Macaca fascicularis: one gene and its partners. The protein of the gene in region 1 purifies or fractionates together with the protein of each later gene. This does not show direct contact. Links are inferred from orthologs where the notes say so. Each region holds a gene or a part of one and is shown on either strand. Other genes may lie near its edges. The genes, in order: CTBP1, CHD4 and ZNF516.

Region 1 (3,424 bases):
GGGAGCTGCCCGGGTACTCCGGCTGTGACTGACCTCGGAACTGCTTCTCCCACCTCGGCCTGCCGAGCCCTCCTCCCCGGACCGGTTGCCTCCTGCAGCAGCCTCGTCCCTGGGGATGAAAGGAGCCGCCATATTCCTTCTGGTAGAACAGGCGCCTGCCTTTCTAGGATGTAGTGTATTTAGACGGTCCTCAGCTCTTCTGACTGGCCTCCCAGCCTCCCCCAGGCTGTTCCCAAGTGACTGGGAGTCCCCTGGGCGTTTGGGCCACATCTGGCTGCCCTGTCTGCCTGGCGGTCTGGTCTCCTTGGCCCTCAGGCCGCCGCCACCGTGGGCCCCTCACACGTGTTGTTCCAGCTCTTCGGCTCCCTTCCCATCCCCTCATGTCTCCAGCAAGCTTGGTCTTCTCAGGGATGCCTGCCCTGGCTGCCACCTCTGAAACTGCACCCGCTTCCCACCTGCCCCAGCGCCCAGCCGGCTTCCTTCCTGTGCAGCGGTTCCCTCTGAGGCGATGCAGGAGACACCACATTGGCGGGCTTGGGTTCCTGTGTCCTTCGCAGCCGCGTCTGGGCTTCCGAAGTCCTGTGTCCCTTGCAGCCGTGCTGTTGGCTCACGGTGGGCGCATGCACCCTGCCGACCCTTCCCCAGGGAGGAGCCAGAAATGGTGGCTCTGGCTCCGTGGCTCCTGTGCTGGGGCCCACGCCAGCCTTGGACTGCTGGGGTCGGGGCAGGCACGTCTGCCCGGGATGGCTTTCTCTGCCACTCCACTGGAAGGGGACAGGACATGAGCCCAGCGGGGCCTCCCTGGTCTGGAAGGTTCCCTCCCGCCCCCTTTGCCGTCTCCACCTAGTCGTGGCTGGAACTGAGATGCCAGAGACATCGATGGGTGGACCGGAAAGCGGGCCAGTGGAGGGACCTGGGCACATAGGGCGTGTGTGGGGTGAGTGGAGACCCGCTGACGGTCCGTTTGACACTGAGTGGTTCGTGTCACGTCCTGTGGACAGGCTGCAGGGGGGGCGTGGCTGGCAGCTGGTGTGGGCCGAGGGGCTCGTGCACCCTTTCCACCCCCGTGCACAGCCTCCACCTTGGCAGTGGGCGCATCGGGAGCAGACACCTCGTGTGGAGACACCTCGCGCCGGCACCTTGGCTTGACCACAGCTGGTGTCCTTGGCAGATGGTCAAACTGAGGCACAGGGGCCACTCCGATCCTGGCTGTCAGGGCTAGCCTCCCAGCCACGGGTGAGCGAGGGTTTCACACTGTGTCCTGACACCACCAGGTCGCGTGGGGCAGGCGGTGGCGCTGCGGGCCAAGGCCTTCGGCTTCAACGTGCTCTTCTACGACCCTTACCTGTCGGACGGCGTGGAGCGGGCGCTGGGGCTGCAGCGGGTCAGCACCCTGCAGGACCTGCTTTTCCACAGCGACTGCGTGAGCCTGCACTGCGGCCTCAACGAGCACAACCACCACCTCATCAACGACTTCACCGTCAAGCAGGTGCGTGAAGCTGGGGCACAGGGCTCTCCTTCTGCGGGGCAGGCACAGGTGGGGGTGTCAGGAAGGTCCCTCCCAGCAACCACCTGCACCTGGGCGAGACCCTGCCTTCAGTGAGCCACATGGCGGTGGTGCCGGCCCTGCTGGGGGAAGCCCTGTCTGCCCAGACGGCGTTTTCCATGTTCTGAGTTCTACCCAGGATGCCTGAAATACTCTCTGGATAAGACAGAACCACATACCTTTGAATCCTAAATTCCCCTGAAGCTCTTGCCACTGTCACAGTGGAGATGATGCAGCTACCTGGGGGCATTGGGCCTGCCCTTCTGACTTCCATCCTGTGCTGCCAGGTTCAGGTTTCACATCTGCAGCTGGAGAGGGCTGTGCTCAGGTCGGCCTCTGCCTCAGCTCAGCGCAGAGCGCAGCCTCAGCCCGTGTTTCCCTCGGGTGGGCGGAGCTCGGGTGGGCGGAGCTCGGGACGGCTGCCTCCCGCCGGCTGTTGGCCTTTCAGGGAGTCGTTATGTGTGCACGGTGATGTGTGTGTATGTGGGCAAGTGTGTGTGGGTGCCTGTGTCTGCCCGTTTGAGCTTGTGTGTGCGTGTGTGTACACACGTGTCAGAGGCCACCCACCCACTCAAGCTGCCCCAGCAGCCTGTAGCCACAGGGAGGATGAAACCAGGTGCCCACCTCCCCTTCCTTTGTTCACAGAGCCAGTGGGTTTGGAGCCTTCTAGTGGACAGGGTGTGGCACGTGGATGCTGGTCAGGGCCCTGCCATCCCTGAGGACCTTGGGTGTGAGGCTGCAATGGGCAGCAACTCACCAAAGAAAAGCCACCATGACCCACCCGGCTGCCACCCAAGCGCAATGGCTGGGTGGGCTTCCTCGGAATGAAATGGGGGGGTTGCAGGAAAGCCCTGGCCACGAAGCTGACAGGGAGCCACTGCAAGGGCCTTTTGCAAAAGTGCATGAAAAGTGAGCGTGTCCGGAGGCCCCACTGGGGTTGGAGTCAAACACCACACCTCAGAGTAGATGGCCCTGGGCTTTGTCATCCCAGGGAGTCCCACCTCGTGGGCCGAGGCCCTGTTGGGGGAGGCTGGGCTGGAGGGGACCCAGAAAAGGGATACCACAGGGGGACCAAGCCAGGAGCCCCCACCCAGTCCTCAGCTCAGGGCTTGGGCAGGAACGTAGAGCTCTCTAGGAGGTGTGGGGCCATGCAGGTCTGCACAGGGCTGAACCTCAGCCAGCTTGCCAGGGCCGCGGCGCAGCACGCTTGAGGTCTTAAGTCCTAGCACCCTGGTGAGCCCAGGGTGGGCCTGGGCTGGGAAGGGGCCAGGGAGCTGGGGCTCCTCAGCAGCGTGCGTGACCACCTTGCTTCCCTGGCCGCTCGCCCTGCACGGAACCCTGACTGGGCCTGGCCTGTCCTCATGTCTTCCAGATGAGACAAGGGGCCTTCTTGGTGAACACAGCCCGGGGCGGCCTGGTGGACGAGAAGGCGCTGGCCCAGGCCCTGAAGGAGGGCCGGATCCGCGGCGCGGCCCTGGACGTGCACGAGTCGGAACCCTTCAGGTGCCCTCACAGCCAGTGTCACTCCCTGCTCTTCCCTGCCCACCATCCTGCCGGCCTTGACCTGCAGATGGCGCCTCTGCCAGGCCGGGCACTTGCTTGTACTCAGGCCTCTCGCTGGCTGGCACGGGGGAGTTTGCTGCTCACTGTGGGGTGAGGACGGAGCCACGGGCTCCAGGCCTGCCTCGCCTCGGTCCTGTGAGGGTTGATCGTCCTCTTCAGCCCCTCTTTGGGCAGGGCTCCCCACCAGCCAGGAGAGAGTGAGGCCCCAGTGTCCGTGAGTGGTCCCCACAGGCCCTGGCCATGGAGTCATGGCGTCATGTCCAGACCTGCAATCCCTGCAGCGCCCTGGGACCCCAGGCAGCCCTGGGTTGGATG
Region 2 (3,648 bases), on another chromosome or scaffold:
CACTAGCGGGATCAGAACCAGTGCTCAAGGTACATGTTTGAGAAGCATCAAATCATCTGCATAGAAGTGCTGGCTGACACTAGGAGAGGAGAAGCGTATAAGAAATCTCATATGTTGAGTCATAGGTTTTATGAATATATTTTTTAAGTAATTAAAATCTTTTCATAAATTAAGAACCAACATTCTGCCTCTTGGGATATATTTCAAAGAACCTTTAATACAGCTCCATCAGGTGACATATGCATGAGTGTTTCTGCAGTATGATTTTTGGTGATGGGGGCCTAGAGGCAACCTAAATGTTCAGCATTAGGAGAATGCATAGGTAAAACATGTATTCATATTATGGGGCATTAAACAACAGAAGCAACAAAATTCATGTGCATACAACATAAGTGTACCTTTTAAAAAATATGTAGTGGGAGAAAAAAAGCATAGGTACAGAAAACATCATTCTGTAACTTAGAAACATACATATGAAACAACACAGTCTTTAAAAACCTACACAAAAAGCCACAGTATTACTATATTAGAAAGGTTGCTTTTCAGAGGAATGGAAGTGAGATGGCGATAAGAGGAAATAAAAAAAATATTTTAAAATAGCAAAATAACCCTGTTTTTTTGAGACAGTTTCCCTCTGTCATTCAGGCTGGAGTGCAGTGGCATGATCCCAGCTCACTGCAACCTTTGCCTCCCGGGTTCAAGCATTCTTCTGCCTCAACCTCTTGAGCAGCAGCAGTTACAGGTGTGCACTACCATACCTTGCTAATTTTTGTGTGTTTAGTAGAGATGGGGTTTTGTCATGTTGGCCAGGCTGGTCTTGAACTCCTGACCTCAAGTGATCTGCCCATCTCAGCCTCCCAAAGTGCTGGGATTACAGGTGTGAGCCACTGTGCCCAGCCAAAACGTGTTTTTGAAGAGTAGTTGATAAAGTGTAGATGATAAAAAGGAAAATGTTTAACTGTAACTAAATGAAAACATAATATGGATATGTATATAGTATGATCTCAGTTATGTAAAAAACTATGCACAAAAAAACCTAAAAAGAAAAACATCAGGATATATTTCTAGAAGGTGGGATCATCTGTTGTTAATTTTTGATATTCTATTTTCTAAATTGAGTTTTTATTGCTTTTGTATAAGAGAATCTAAAGGGTAAAGAGTTTTAAAAACGAGGACATTGAAAAAGGGAAAGAAAAAAGATACAAGCCAAAGTTAAACTGCTTGGGTGTGGGAATGAGCTGTCCATGAAGTTATTTATAGGTTCTTATTACTATCAGAAACAATGAGAGGTGAGCTGAGAGGCCAGTCAGAAGTAAGCAAAGTGAGTTATCAGTCGAACTCCCGTTTCCTCTTATCCCTTGTCCAGCTCTTAGAACAAGCTCTGGTGATTGAGGAACAGCTGCGCCGGGCTGCTTACTTGAACATGTCAGAAGACCCTTCTCACCCTTCCATGGCCCTCAACACCCGCTTTGCTGAGGTGGAGTGTTTGGCGGAAAGTCATCAGCACCTGTCCAAGGAGTCAATGGCAGGAAACAAGCCAGCCAATGCAGTCCTGCACAAAGGTAGCCAGTGGCTCCCCTGCCTCCTGCTGATTAGGCCTCCTCCCTCATCTAACTGCATCCCAATGTACATATATTTGTTTTCAAACCTTTTTCAGAGCTCCTTTGAGAGTTTAGGAGTTGGTAGGGACCTTTGCCATCCTTGGGGAGTTAATATGTTAGAGGCAATCAAGGACAGTAGTTCTTTGCCTCTTTTTTTTTTTTTTTTTTTCTTTTTTCTTTTTAAGAGGTGGGCTCTTGGCTGGGCGCGGTGGCTGACGTCTGTAATCTCGGCACTTTGGGAGGCCAAGGTGGGTGGATCACGAGGTTAGGAGTTCGAGACCAGCCTGGCCAACATGGTGAAACCCCATCTCTACTAAAAATAGCAAAATTAGCTGGGCATGTGGCACATGCCTGTAATCCTAGCTGCTCAGGAGGCTGAGGCAAGAGAATCGCTTGAAACCAGGAGGTGGAGTTTGCAGTAAACCAAGATCGTGCCATTGCACTGGCTATCAGCCTGGGCAACACAGTGAGACTCCGGAAAAAAAAAAAAGAGATGGGCTCTCAACATTTTGCCCGGGTGGGTCTTGAACTCCTGGACTCAAGTGATCCTCTTGCCTCAGCCTCCTGAGTAGCTGGAACTACAAATATGTGCCACTGTACCCGGCCACCTTTTTTTTTTCTTTTTGAGATGGAGTCTAGCTCTTGCCCAGGCTGGAGTGCAATGGCGTGATCTTGGCCCACTGCAGCCTCTGCCTCCTGGGTTCAAGCAATTATCCTGCCTCAGCCTCCCGAGCAGCTGGAACTATAGGCATGCGCCACCACTTGCGGCTAGTTTTTGTATTTTTAGTAGAGATGGGGTTTTACCATGTTGGCAAAGCTGGTCTCAAACTGACTTCAAGTGGTCTACCTGCCTCTGCCTCCCAAAGTGCTGGCATTATAGGCGTGAGCCACCATGCCCCGCCCTGGCCACCTTTTTTTTTTTTTTTTTTTTTTTTTTTTTTTTTTTTTGAGGCGGAGTTTTGCTCCTGTTGCCCAGGCTGGAGTGCAGTGGCGTGATCTCGGCTCACTGCAACCTTTGCCTCCCAGGTTCAAGCGATTCTCCTGCCTTAGCCTCCTGAGTAGCTGGGATTACAGGCATGCACCACCATGCCCTGCTAATTTTGTTTTTTTGTTTGTTTGTTTTTTGAGATGGAGTTTTGCTCTTGTTGCCCAGGGTGGAGTGCAATGGCGTGATCTCAGTTCACCACAACCTCCGCCTCCCGGGTTCAAGCGATTCTTCTGCCTCAGCTTCCTAAGTTGCTGGGATTACAGGCGCCCGCCACCATGCCCGGCTAATTTTTTGTATTTTTAGTAGAGATGGGGTTTCACCATGTTGGCCAGGCCGGTCTCAAACTCCTGACCTCAGATGATCCACCTGCCTCTGCCTCCCAAAGTGCTGGGATTACAGGCATGAGCCACCACGCCCGGCCCCACCTCTTTTAACTTTAAATATATTCAGGTTCTTGAGATGGAAAGCAAAGCAGAATAATATAGTGTCATTTGGGATACTTTAGAGGTAACTTCAGGTGATAAAAGATCCCTTCAAATTCTAGACCCCTTTCAGCGTTTTGTTTCTAATTAAAGTAAAAGGTTATGAGGAGGCGGAGGGTGAAATAAGGAAAAGAATGCTGTTATAATGGAGGTGGGAGACAGATTCTGAAGGTAGAGAAGAGAAAAAACAGGAATAAGCTTCTCAAGAAGAGGAAATACAATAATAGTAAGGGATAGTGAAGGTTTAGGTGACTTTTAAGAGCACAAAATCATGAACAGTTGGAACTGGAATATGAGGAGCAGGAATTTGAACATGGTGGAGGTCAGGTCAGGTGACAGAAGATAACACATCACAGTCACTTGGTCACTGAGAAGTGATGCTGGTCCACTAGGGTAGAGGGACCTCAGTCTTGGCCACCACAGCTCACCACCTCTTTTTCTCCCTTTGCAGTTCTGAAACAGCTGGAAGAACTGCTGAGTGACATGAAAGCCGATGTGACTCGACTCCCAGCTACCATTGCCCGAATTCCCCCAGTTGCTGTGAGGTTACAGATGTCAGAGCGTAACATTCTCAGCC
Region 3 (3,748 bases), on another chromosome or scaffold:
GCTTCCAGATTCAGAGCCCTCCATGGGGTCGGCCCAGGCCTCTGTTGCAACTATTCCTCAGTTCACCTTCTTCTTCTGCCCACCCTGGGTCCTGCCATTCTTCAAGTGTGGCTCCTGAGAGCACTGGCCTGTGCGCCCCTGCATGCAAATCACAGCTGACCGTGTGAGCACTCACCGCAGGGGAACAGCCTTCCACCGCCTCCACCTCCGCCTCCTGACCAAGCCCTCTAGCAGCACCAGGCCTCAGCTTCCTCATCTGTAAGACAGGGGTCAAAATGGTCTTAATTCTCAGAATGTCATAAGCATGAAATGAGAACGTGCACAGAAAGTCCTTACTCAGGTTTGGTGTGCGGTGAACGCACAATAGAAGCGGTGATATGTGGCCGGGCATGGTAGCACAGGCCTATGATCCCAACACTTTGGGAGGCCGAGGCGGGCCGATCACAAGGTCAGGAGATCGAGACCATCCTGGCTAACACGGTGAAACCCCGTCTCTACTAAAAATACAAAAAATTAGTCGGGGGCGGTGGCGGCGCCTGTAGTCCCAGCTACTTGGGAGGCTGAGGCAGGAGAATGGCGGGAACCCGGGAGGCGGAGCTTGCAGTGAGCCAAGATGGCGCCGCTCACTCCAGCCTGAGAGACAGAGCGAGACTCCAAAAAAAAAAGAAAAAGAAAAAGAAAAAAAGAAGTAGCGATATGTATGATGATGTTCTTCGTCACAGAAAGCATGGAAAATACAGAAAGACACAGAGAAGACAGTAAATTCACCCAGGGCTCTGCTGCCGGGAAACAGGTCGTAACACGATTTGAGGTGGGGGTGCACGCGCATGCGTACCAACACGCGGGCCTTAGGAAAATCAACTCGGGATCCCAGCGTGGACCCACACACGCGGCTGCCATTCTCACCCGCTTTTCTGCTTTAATTTTCTCCTTAAATTGGTCATTTGCTGTGAAATGCACATTCCACTTCTGGGTAGTGTGCACCGCCCTTCTCCCCCACGGAGTGCAGGAAAGTGGCAACGCGGCTGTGCTCCAGGCCGAGGCCACGCAGCTGGGGGGTGGGGGGCGCACGCGGGGGCGGCCTTGGTGCACGAGGCCTTTCATTTGTTGGTTACAGCTGGAAGAATTCGGATGTAGTTGTTGACCGAGAGAAGAATCCAAAACTGAGGAGCGGAAAATAACGAAGAATGAAGAAAGGAAACAGGAAGAGGTTGACCTTATGGATGGAAAGGGAGCTCCTCTTTCTCCAAAGCCAGAAGGAAAAGGAAGATTTAGAGCAGAGGAGGGTAAGTTTCCCCCGGATAATATGGATCCAGTTGCATAATGCGGCCAGGATGTTATCTGCAAAGAAGCTGTGGGGAGGAGAAGGCAGAGCAAGGAGAGCAGGGCTGAGGTTGTGGGAGATTCAGCCGGAAATGACAAAACAGAAACAAAACGTGACCAAGGCCATTTGGGGTCCAGCTGAAGTTCAGTGGCTTAGATGTGTAGCAAGCCCCATGAGCACTGTTGCACGACTTGCCCACAGCTGTTCACATATGGACTTTGCAGCTCTCATTCACTCCAGCCGTGGCAGGAGAGCCAGAGAGCCAGGCAGGTGCGTGGGAAGGGAGAGAAGAAAGGGAGGACGCGCTGCGGATTCCGTATTTACCCTAGTAGTCATCCAGACACGCTTCCCTTTCCAATCCCCAAAAAGGAAGAGGCAGAAACTGTCTACCAGTTAGACGGGAGGTGTCAGTGCCCCTGGAGGCTGTGGCCATTGCCAGGGAGACCCCACTCTGCACAGCTCACAAACACACCGTGTGTGTGTGTGTGCGCGCGCGCGCGTGTGTGCAGGGTCCTCACCCGCCCTGGGCAGCAGATGGGGAGTTCTACGTCCACTTTGTCACGCAGACAATGAAGGGGACCGCAGAAGGGGCTTCCCCAAGGACACAGAGCCAGTGGCCGCCTCACTGTGTGCCCCTCAGCAGGCGTTTCCACACTGCCTGGCAACTTTGAGAACAGCCGCTCTCGCTCGGTCTCCAGTGAAACTTGAAACCATTTGCATCTGCAAGTACTTTACTTATTCCATTTGAAAGGCATGCACATTTTTAAAGGGACACTGTTTTTAGCTCCTGCGTCCCTGAGTCATCCCGCATAATCTGACTTTATGAGACAGGGTCCCCTAAGGAGTGTCCTTGTCTTGACAGCCCTGTCTTGAAAGCTGTGCAGACCAAGTGGTGCCATATATATTGTTTTAAACTTATGGACTACCTAGAAAAAAGGTGCAATAGTAAAAAAAGCAAAACTTTTAATATTCAATGACAAACACAGACAGAAAATATGGAAAAATTAAATGTTAATGTGTTGGGATGACTGGATTTTGAACACATTTTATTTATTGAATTGATATGAAGTTTATGGAACAGGGATAAGTAGAGCTTGTTTCATACGATTATATATTTAGGTATTCGCTGACATATATCTGTATACATAAACATGTATGTATCGCTGTGTTTACATATGGACACACATAACATGTATGCATAAAACACATATATTGGTACCAAATTACTAAACCAGAAATTGTGTCGCTCATCCTACTCTATTATATGAAACATCAGGCAACAGTAGGTATTGGAAAATGCCAAGTCTGCGTGATCCCGGCAAGGGCAGATCCTGGCACTGGAGTTCTGGAATGCATCTCTCCCCACTTGGCAAAGATGCAGGGTGCAGAGGGGGTGTTAGCAGAGGGCTGGGTGCAGAGGGGGTGTTAGCAGAGGGGCTGGGTGCAGAGGGGTCGCAGACCTACCACAGGAGGACTTTATCAAGAGATGTGGGTTTTCTGGACATCCAGGACACCCACAATGGGGTGACAGAATTGCCTGTGGAGTGGAGTCTTAGTATTGAACTTGGCAGCTGCTACCGGATGCTCTTCTGGCACCTATGTTTTCAGAAAAGCAGGAGCTGGCCAAGAGTATGTGCCAGATTTCTCCCTGGATTGGACTGATTCTGCACTCAGCCCAGCTTTTTTTTTTTTTTTTTTTTCCGAGACAGGTCTCGCTCTGTCACCCAGGCTGGAGTGCAGTGGTGTAAGCTTGGCTCACTGCGACCTCCACTTCCCCAGTTCAAGCGATTCTTCTGCCTCAGCTTCCTGAGTAGCTGGGACTACAGGCGCCCGCCACCACGCCCGGCTAGTTTTTGTATTTTTAGTAGAGACGGGGTTTCACCTTGTTAGTCAGGCTGGTCTCGAACTCCTGACCTCAGGTGATCTGCCCACCTTGACCTCCCAAAAGTGCTGGGATTACAGGCGTGAGCCACTGTGCCCAACCTCAGACCAGCTTTAATCTGAGGGACGTGCATGCTCTCCACAGGCCCCACCAGTCTTTGTAGGGTCCTTGGCCCTTACGTGCATTTCCTCTCTGAAGAAGTCCTTCCTCCACCATGTTGTCCCAGCCTGAAATTGTCCCTCATTATGGAGACTTGAGAGGTGTCTCCCACTGACTCCTCTCTCAAGGGGTGAGGGTTTGCCTGACCAGACACCAGAGCTGGGGCACACCCCCTCCAGTTCACCCTGATGAGCTCCTTAGGCCACCACAGGGTCAAAATCAGGTTTAATAGCAGCAGCATTCACAGTAGCCACAATATGGAAACAACGCAAGCATCCCTCCGCGGGTGAATGGATAAGTAAAGTGTGCTGTATCTCCACAATGGAATATTATTCACTCATGAAAAGGAGGGAACACTGGCATATGCCACAACGTGGATAAAC

Evidence for each region.
Region 2: the proteins of CTBP1 (region 1) and CHD4 purify together in Homo sapiens (affinity purification with mass spectrometry; 3 studies listed by BioGRID and IntAct, with this or other methods). This does not show direct contact. The link is inferred for Macaca fascicularis from reciprocal best matches to the Homo sapiens genes CTBP1 and CHD4.
Region 3: the proteins of CTBP1 (region 1) and ZNF516 purify together in Homo sapiens (co-immunoprecipitation; 4 studies listed by BioGRID and IntAct, counting the BioPlex papers as one, with this or other methods). This does not show direct contact. The link is inferred for Macaca fascicularis from reciprocal best matches to the Homo sapiens genes CTBP1 and ZNF516.

Annotation. Positions count from the first base shown.
Region 1 is NC_088379.1:1,311,753-1,315,176, reverse strand, and holds part of CTBP1 (C-terminal-binding protein 1), read left to right. Parts: intron 1-1,274; coding exon 1,275-1,489; intron 1,490-2,918; coding exon 2,919-3,049; intron 3,050-3,424. UniProt on the Homo sapiens protein: Corepressor targeting diverse transcription regulators such as GLIS2 or BCL6. Has dehydrogenase activity. Involved in controlling the equilibrium between tubular and stacked structures in the Golgi complex.
Region 2 is NC_088385.1:7,493,102-7,496,749, reverse strand, and holds part of CHD4 (chromodomain-helicase-DNA-binding protein 4), read left to right. Parts: exon of another isoform or gene 1-79; intron 80-1,366; coding exon 1,367-1,562; coding exon of another isoform or gene 1,563-1,565; intron 1,566-3,522; coding exon 3,523-3,648. UniProt on the Homo sapiens protein: ATP-dependent chromatin-remodeling factor that binds and distorts nucleosomal DNA. Acts as a component of the histone deacetylase NuRD complex which participates in the remodeling of chromatin.
Region 3 is NC_088392.1:4,249,513-4,253,260, forward strand, and holds the start of ZNF516 (zinc finger protein 516), read left to right. Parts: upstream 1-985; 5' UTR 986-1,286; intron 1,287-3,748. UniProt on the Homo sapiens protein: Transcriptional regulator that binds to the promoter and activates the transcription of genes promoting brown adipose tissue (BAT) differentiation.